Styela clava: one gene and its partner. The protein of the gene in region 1 interacts with the protein of each later gene in a pairwise test. Links are inferred from orthologs where the notes say so. Each region holds a gene or a part of one and is shown on either strand. Other genes may lie near its edges. The genes, in order: epsin-2-like and WW domain-binding protein 2-like.

Region 1 (3,933 bases):
GCCCGACAAATAGATTTGATTACTTTTCTTATTCTATATAAGTGAGACTTCTGCTGCTGCATTACCGTTGATAGAGATTTAGGCTACATTGAAAGAAAGTTACGAACTACTGGTTTCATCTTTCAGGCTACTCCTATTACTGTATTATGAGACTATTATGAGCTAAAGTTCATAACTGAGAACAGAAAGTCACAAGCATATGTAGATAAAAACATGCAGTTGCAATGTTTTTAAGACACGAAAAATTCTTCCCAATCACGCGATAGTTCGTTTTCTGCACTTCTCTCTTGTTTTCCCTTCTATAATTGCTTTTATTTCTTTCGAACTCAATTTATTTCAGTAAGTTAGCAAGTAACTCTAAACAACATAAGCTGTACAACTTCATAAATCAATCAGAAATGAAGAAAAATGGTGGCACAGACGAACTATATATTACGTGACAATGAACCCCCAATAAATGCTGTGTCTCGTCACAATTCGTTGAGAGCAATTCGTCATAATATATTTCTTTGTAGCCATATGTTATGAAAAGTCAAAAAGAGTTTAAAATTTTAAATGAATAACAGATTGTTAACAAACGATAATGAATAAACAAACACCTAGTTTCATCAGATAAATCAGAGCCTCAAAACTTTTTATCTGAAAGAGAATGATCTTGTTTCTGAGGCCTCGCTCACGTGCCGAATAAATGGGCTCGCGTGCCAGGGGTTGCCCACCCCTGTCCTAAGCAATAAACTTCATTTAAGATTTAGATTATACTGTTATCAGGGTATAATAAGAAGATAAGATTCAGTTTCTCTTTTTTAAACAAAATAAACAAATTTTTTGAAATCCATCTCAACCATTCTCGGCTATTTTTGAGAAATCTAGAAATTTAATGAATGTCTGAGTAGATATTTTGTTTAGGTTCATCAGGACAAATGTAGGTCTTATTTCTTCATGACTGTTATCCCCTTATTATTTAAAGTTTCATTTTTGATTTTACCTCTAACTGTATAAGCTAAATTTTTAGAAATGATTCCTGGCTGTCATATTATAGTATTAGTGTAACTTAAATCTGTAATCATTTTCTTCTGGTGAATTCTAACACACAAGCGTATCTCCGTATATATATATAGGAAAGGAAAAATGTCTGTTCGCCGAAACTTCATGAATGTTGTTCGTAACTACACAGAGGCTGAGGTTAAAGTTCGTGAAGCCACATCAAATGATGCCTGGGGTCCTTCAAGTTCACTGATGAGTGAAATAGCAGATATGACATATAATGTTATCGCATTTTCGGAAATAATGTCTATGATTTGGAAAAGAGTAAACGATCATGGGAAAAATTGGCGGCATGTTTATAAAGCACTTACGCTGTTGGATTATCTTATAAAAACTGGTTCAGAAAGAGTTGCTCAGCAGTGCAAGGAGAATATTTTTGCTATACAAACACTTAAAGATTTCCAGTTTCTTGATCGAGATGGGAAAGATCAAGGTTTAAATGTCAGAGAGAAATCGAAACAACTAGTCCTTCTTCTCAAAGATGAAGATCGTTTGAAAACTGAAAGAGCAAGAGCAATAAAAGCAAAAGAGAGATTTGCTCAGGCCACTACTGGTATAGGAAGTGATCGTCAGGTATGATTTTACGCTCTCATATCCCTGTTGTGGATGTTCACAAACTGATTTCCTGCATGAAGTTTCTATTTCGTTTGTACCCTTAAAACCTATCATTTGACATCTTTTAAAATTCTCATCTTCAGATTTTTTATTCACTATTTAAAAATTATTAATGCTGATTATTAAAAGGCATCGCTCTAATGTAATTTTGATTATTTAATTTTCAAGGCAACCTGAAATTCAGTGTAAAAATTTATAATAATAATAATAAATTTAAACTAATATTGAATAGCATGTTTGAATCAAATTGCATTTTATTTATGTTATTCACAAAACCTGCCAGTAAGATTAATATTCGACTACTATATTATTTCATACATTTTGTTATATGCTGATAAAATAAAGACATGACACAGTACCCAGTCTAGAAAATTGATGATGGGAGAAATTAAATCAAAAGTTTTTGGATTTATTATATGAAATATGAATCTTGAATCCTGTTATTTGCACTTTCACTATGACGCTGAAATTAGTTTTATTAATGAAAATCAATCAAAAAATCAATGTGCAAGTAATGACAGTTGGTTCTGAATCATGTGTGATTTGGAATATTTTTTGATTGGGGTTTTAAAATTTTTTATTAACGGTAAATTATATTTTAAAAAAGTTTGTGAAAAATGTTTACCAAAGAAATTTGATGGGAACCAATTTTTTTCTAATTGTACTTTATTTGAACTAACCTTATCTATACCCCCTAATTACAACAGTGCTCGTTCCAAGAATTAGGAGAATCTGTATTACTTTATTTAAAAACAAAATACAACTACCATATTCAAATTTGTTTGTTAACAAAAAGTATTAGTCAACTAACCAAATATCGTGGTTTATTCTCAAATCACATCTGGAATCTGAGAGGAATATTTTATTCAGATTCCAAGCCATAACCCATAATATTCATATTTTTCTTTGGCTTCATTTTAAAAAGATACGAATTGGTATTTTCAGTCTTGGTTTTGTATTTGAACTATCGCTTCTTATTGATTAGTTTTGATATTTTTCAGTTTTTCATGAAATGTGACCTACATTGGCTCATTATTTCCCTACTATTTATTCAAGATTGCAGATTCTTTTTTGCCCGTGGATTTCCCTAGGTTTAGTCAATAACGAAGATCACTTTAGAGTTGAAATGTTTAAAATACAGCAATATATAATCTTTTATTCAAAACTTCAGATTTCATATGGGCATGGAAGTTCAACACCGCAAACTCATCGTACACCGGAGACCAGACACACAGCTCTCACATCTTCACCAGTGTCAACAGAACTTGAGCAGGTATGAATAGGATTGTAAGAATTGATGAAAGAAAAAAATTGATGTGGTGCAGAAAAATGCATACCAGACATCCATAACTGTGACATACTAGTAGCCCATGAAAGAGACCTAACATGTGTCATGAAAGGTGTAGGAGGAATATAAATTTGTTGTTTTTTTGCTAATTGTGATTGTTTTCTATTTAAACTATCCTCTTCTTAATTTTTTTCGATTCATTTTATCTAATCCTCCTGCACCATGATAAGGACCATAATATTTAAGAGTCATTGTGATGTCACATTTATTCAAGACTGTTGCAGAGAAAGATTAGTTCAATTTTGCATAAAACAATATTATTGGAGATGCCTAGTTAAATAGTGTGTTTTGGCTATTCCAGGTTAAATTGATTAGTATTGTCACTATTGTGATCATTAGTGTGCTATGCTATGGCAAAATTTGAAATTTATTAGCGTGCAGTGATAATATTTATACTAAAAAAGTTTGTTAAGCTCTGATGGAGTTGTGATTCTCTTAGTTATGCTTATGACAAAATATGAAGTTCTGACTCTCTTGAGGTTGTGAAAAGGAAACTGGCTGGCTATTTATTGTGTTTTGATTAAAAGCTTTAACTTTATTCACAGTTTTTCTCAAATTTTTTACCTAATCGAAAAAAATTAAACCTTTTTTTTGTTTTTTTTCCACCTGACCAAAACAGTCATGTGTCATAAATGGATATCAAAACTTTGAAAAAAATTTCTATACTCTCCTTTTGTAAATATTTTCTCGAAGAAATGTCAATGTCACATGAACTTCTGAGAAGTGAAAGAATATTAACTGTCAAGCCAGGAACTACAAAGTGTGAATGATAAATCTTTAAATGATTCGAGCAAGCTTTTTTTTATTCAGGCTCGACCTCAAACAGCAGGCGAAGAAGAACTTCAGCTGCAATTAGCTCTCGCTATGAGTAAAGAAGAAGCAGAACAAGACAAGAAAGTAGATGACAGCGATGATCTTCGATTAAA
Region 2 (3,933 bases), on another chromosome or scaffold:
CAAAGTGACTATGTGACTTGGTAGGTATGACAAAGAAAATGTTTTCATAGTGGCAGATACTGTCTAGCACTAGCAGCCCATTGCTGTTGTGTGTAAAGATCGACAGCAGGGATCGGTGTATATCACAAGTGATAAATGAAAATATTATTATCACGACCCCGAGATGGTTGTAGAAATTTCACCTGATTGCAGGTATTGATTACCGCACAGCTAGGTATATCTCTGTTGGTGCTGTGGTAGAAAGCCTCGGCGCAGTCGGCGTTACCTCATATACCTGTATACAGATAACGTTATATCTCAAGCCATGACTGCATGAATTCAGGGTTGCTATGTGGCTTTTTAACACCAAATTCGCCATTTTTGGCTTTTTTCAAACACGATTGGCGTCAGAATTTACGTTTGGCTTTTTTCTTGACTTTTTTCAGTCTCCTTCAATGTGTATTATTAAAAATCATATGAAATACATTATACAATATTTAGTGTGTAACAATAGCCTATTGCTTAGCTATTTAACATTTGGAAGAGCATCGATTTTCTTGTTTATGACCATAACCAACAAAAAATAGTTGCAGTTTCTGCAGCCGCTCAAACAGATGTTCAAGCGGGGTTGTAAACATTGCCATGCTTTTAGTTATTTGTCAGTGTTCAGTTCTGTTCCCAAATATAGTTGTATGACTTAATTGTCATTCCTGCATTATGCCTTCCCAGGAGCTTTAGTTTAGTTGCAGTAATCAGAATTTAGTGTCACGAACGATTGTGATTAAATACGCTAAAATTAGCCATCAGTAGTCCGCCTGCAGACCTGTAAGCGGGCACATGGTTAGATAATTTTTTAAATAAAAATGATGGTTTTCAAAATGTTCAGTGAGAATGTTTTAAGGTATATCACAAACTGAAGCGTCACCCTGTGTATATATATTGAATTGTTGAGTGATGCTGTCCGCTTGATATTTCCTTCTATTTTTTTTATTTTCCCAACTCTTTCATATAGATATCAGTTTGACTGTATAATGTCAAATGTAGGTTCTGGTGCTGCCATTCAATTAACCCCTTTTCAACCCTCCATCTCGCTGAAGCGGAAATCGCCATGATAGCTAGCAACTGAAAATACAACTTTCAATGACTGAATGAGAAAAGACATTTGTGTGGCTCACTAAATGCTCTACATCAGGTGCTTTTGTAATTAGTAAAATTGTTGGCTTTTGCTGGCTTTTTTTTCGTCTCAATTTGGCCCTTTTTGATCACTAGGACAGTAGGATCTGGCAACCCTTTGCATGATGCTGTAATAGGATGGTTATGTACGGTACCTACTGACCTACAGCGAAAACTATACAATGTTGGGCGTTATTTAAGAAGTTCCCGGAACAAACACACCAACCTCGAACAGTGTCAGACATCGAAACATTGCAATTTGAAAGGCAGTTAAATGAGCATTTATAATTGAAGCCGCATGAGAATTTTTTTACAATTTTATGCACATGATACTACTCAACTGTGTTAATGCAAATAACAAAAACTAAAAGGATTTTACCTCTCTAGATTTACTCTAAACCCTGAAACTATAAGTTGGTAATATTTCATCACCTGGACCTTGCAAAACTTGTGCAGTCATGTCTATCAATAGATCGGCAGGACTCCAATTATTTCAAGGCGAGCTGACTGTGCAACAACACAAAGATGTTGAACTGAAATTCAAGAAGGTCAAATATTCATCTGAGCACTTGAAGGGATCGAAAGTCGGCCAGCTTTATCTTACGAATTTCAGAGCATTTTTTGTGAACAGCAAAACAAATGACATGCTACAAAATTTTAGCATGCCATTCAAACTCATAAAGGATTTTGAGATCAAGCAACCTGTGTTTGGCGCGAACCACTTGGAAGGAAAAATAATGGCTGAAGAAGGAGGTGGATGGCAAGGTTCCGCAGAATTTGAAATGACATTCAAGGTAATATTGATTTATTTTATTCAAGTACAAATAATGAAATTAAAAGTTAGCTGATTTTACCTTGAATTTTTAAACTCATTTCCTGGTTGATGCCATCACATAATATTTGGGCTCCCTAATTGAGCCTTGGAATGTATATTACTGTATTAGATGCATTGAAACATAACTATAATCTATAATATACATATCCTGTATAATGACCAAAAACACATTTTTTTTCCTTCTATCGTATCTCACCAACTAACATTGTATTTGTAACATGTATTCCTTTCCGGAAAAGTAAGTGTTAGTGATCAAATGAAATAAGCAGAACCTTATGATGGTTAAAAAATGAACCTGACTTGAAGGAAAGAATACTGACTCTTAAATTTGAGAATGGTCAATCAAGTGAACCTCGAAGAGAGAAATCAGCTGTGTGTGTCATGTGTAACAGCCATGCAATACATATAAGGTTATCATACAGCCCCAATTTGAAGTCCCAATGCTGTATATTGGAGCTCCGCTCTATAGGAGACCCTTATTCTCAATCGTTCTGTCTGTCTGTTTAGATGTAGCCTCTAAACGACTAGATCAATTTGGGTGAAATTTCTTATGTGAGTTAACCTGTCGAGTGTCATCCTAGTATTATGCGTATGAAATAAGCAGAACCTTATGATGGTTAAAAAAATGAACCTGACTTGAAGGAAAAAAATACTGACTCTTAAATTTGAGAATGGTCAATCAAGTGGACCTCGAAGAGAGAAATCAGCTGTGCGTGTCATGTGTAACAGCCATGCAATACATATAAGGTTATCATACAGCCCCAAGTTGAAGTCCCAATGCTGTATATTGGAGCTCCGCTCTATAGGAGACCCTTATTCTCGATCGTTCTGTCTGTCTGCTTAGATGTAGCCTCTAAACGGCTAGATCAATTTGGGTGAAATTTCTTATGTGAGTTAACCTGTCGAGTGTCATCCTAGTATTATGCGTTTCCTTGAAAGACTGGATTGTTGTTTCGCTTCCACGGCAGCAACCACAAAACATCCGATTGTGAGAAAATTTCTAATTTTTTGACATTCTGTTGCAATTTTCTTGTAAATTAAGTCGAAAATTAGAATTCTGAGATTGCTACCTCTCGCGAGAGAAAATGCTTTCTCTAACAAGCCGCCATTCATCTCGATACTCTATAAACTGGTGAAGCCTTTGGAATTAAATTGATTGATTGATGGAATTTTAGTGAACATGTTTCAATAATTAGCAACATTTTATTCCTCATGCAACGCTAAAAAGCAGACGCACAGCGTTCAAAATGAACAGGAAATATCGCCATCGGTAACAGGCAATATCGGTGATTGTTATTGCATGCGTAAATGGTCTCGGAAATAAAAGAGATTTGTATTCGAACGAAGTTACTGGTGACCACTAGAGTGCTACAGGGACTAAAACGAATTGGATCATCGCGATAGCATAATACAGACGCGGGGCTGAGTATCAGCGGAGATCCCGGGCGCCTACCGACTTGTTTTTTCATGTGACTCGTTCACGAAACCTTAGAGAAATTCTCAAGTACATAAATGTACTAGGGGAACTTGGATATTGTGTATTGAACTGCAGGTCCTTTCTCCTTGATTACTTTCTACTTCGGATCCGTATGTGGCACAGTAAAAATAACATGATCTCTTTCAACGAAATAGTAAGTATATTTGTGAGCTTTCGTTAGATCATGGTCTAACTTCTTCAAACAATACAAGATATAACTGTAAATATAAAAGATCATATAAATTTAGCCTATTATTGAGTTTCCTATAACTGGATATGGATGCTATCGTATCATCTTAGAATAGCAGGTCTAACTGATGTGGTTGGGTTGGGGTTCATCTATTTGGGTAGTTTCCTTTGTTTGTTTTTCATCGTTATTTGTTTGTATTGTTGTTGTTGTTTTGATGGTACTGTTTGTTTTTTGGTTTCATATTTGCGTTAAGGCCACTTCTTCGTTTGAGTTTTAATC

Evidence for each region.
Region 2: the proteins of epsin-2-like (region 1) and WW domain-binding protein 2-like interact in binary tests that used the Homo sapiens proteins (3 or more experiments, as listed by UniProt). The link is inferred for Styela clava from reciprocal best matches to the Homo sapiens genes EPN2 and WBP2.

The regions. Positions count from the first base shown.
Region 1 is NC_135254.1:23,464,986-23,468,918, reverse strand, and holds the start of epsin-2-like, read left to right. Parts: upstream 1-995; 5' UTR 996-1,128; coding exon 1,129-1,617; intron 1,618-2,830; coding exon 2,831-2,932; intron 2,933-3,817; coding exon 3,818-3,933. UniProt on the Homo sapiens protein: Plays a role in the formation of clathrin-coated invaginations and endocytosis.
Region 2 is NC_135251.1:30,812,590-30,816,522, reverse strand, and holds the start of WW domain-binding protein 2-like, read left to right. Parts: upstream 1-1,520; 5' UTR 1,521-1,610; coding exon 1,611-1,946; intron 1,947-3,933. UniProt on the Homo sapiens protein: Acts as a transcriptional coactivator of estrogen and progesterone receptors (ESR1 and PGR) upon hormone activation. In presence of estrogen, binds to ESR1-responsive promoters. Synergizes with YAP1 to enhance PGR activity.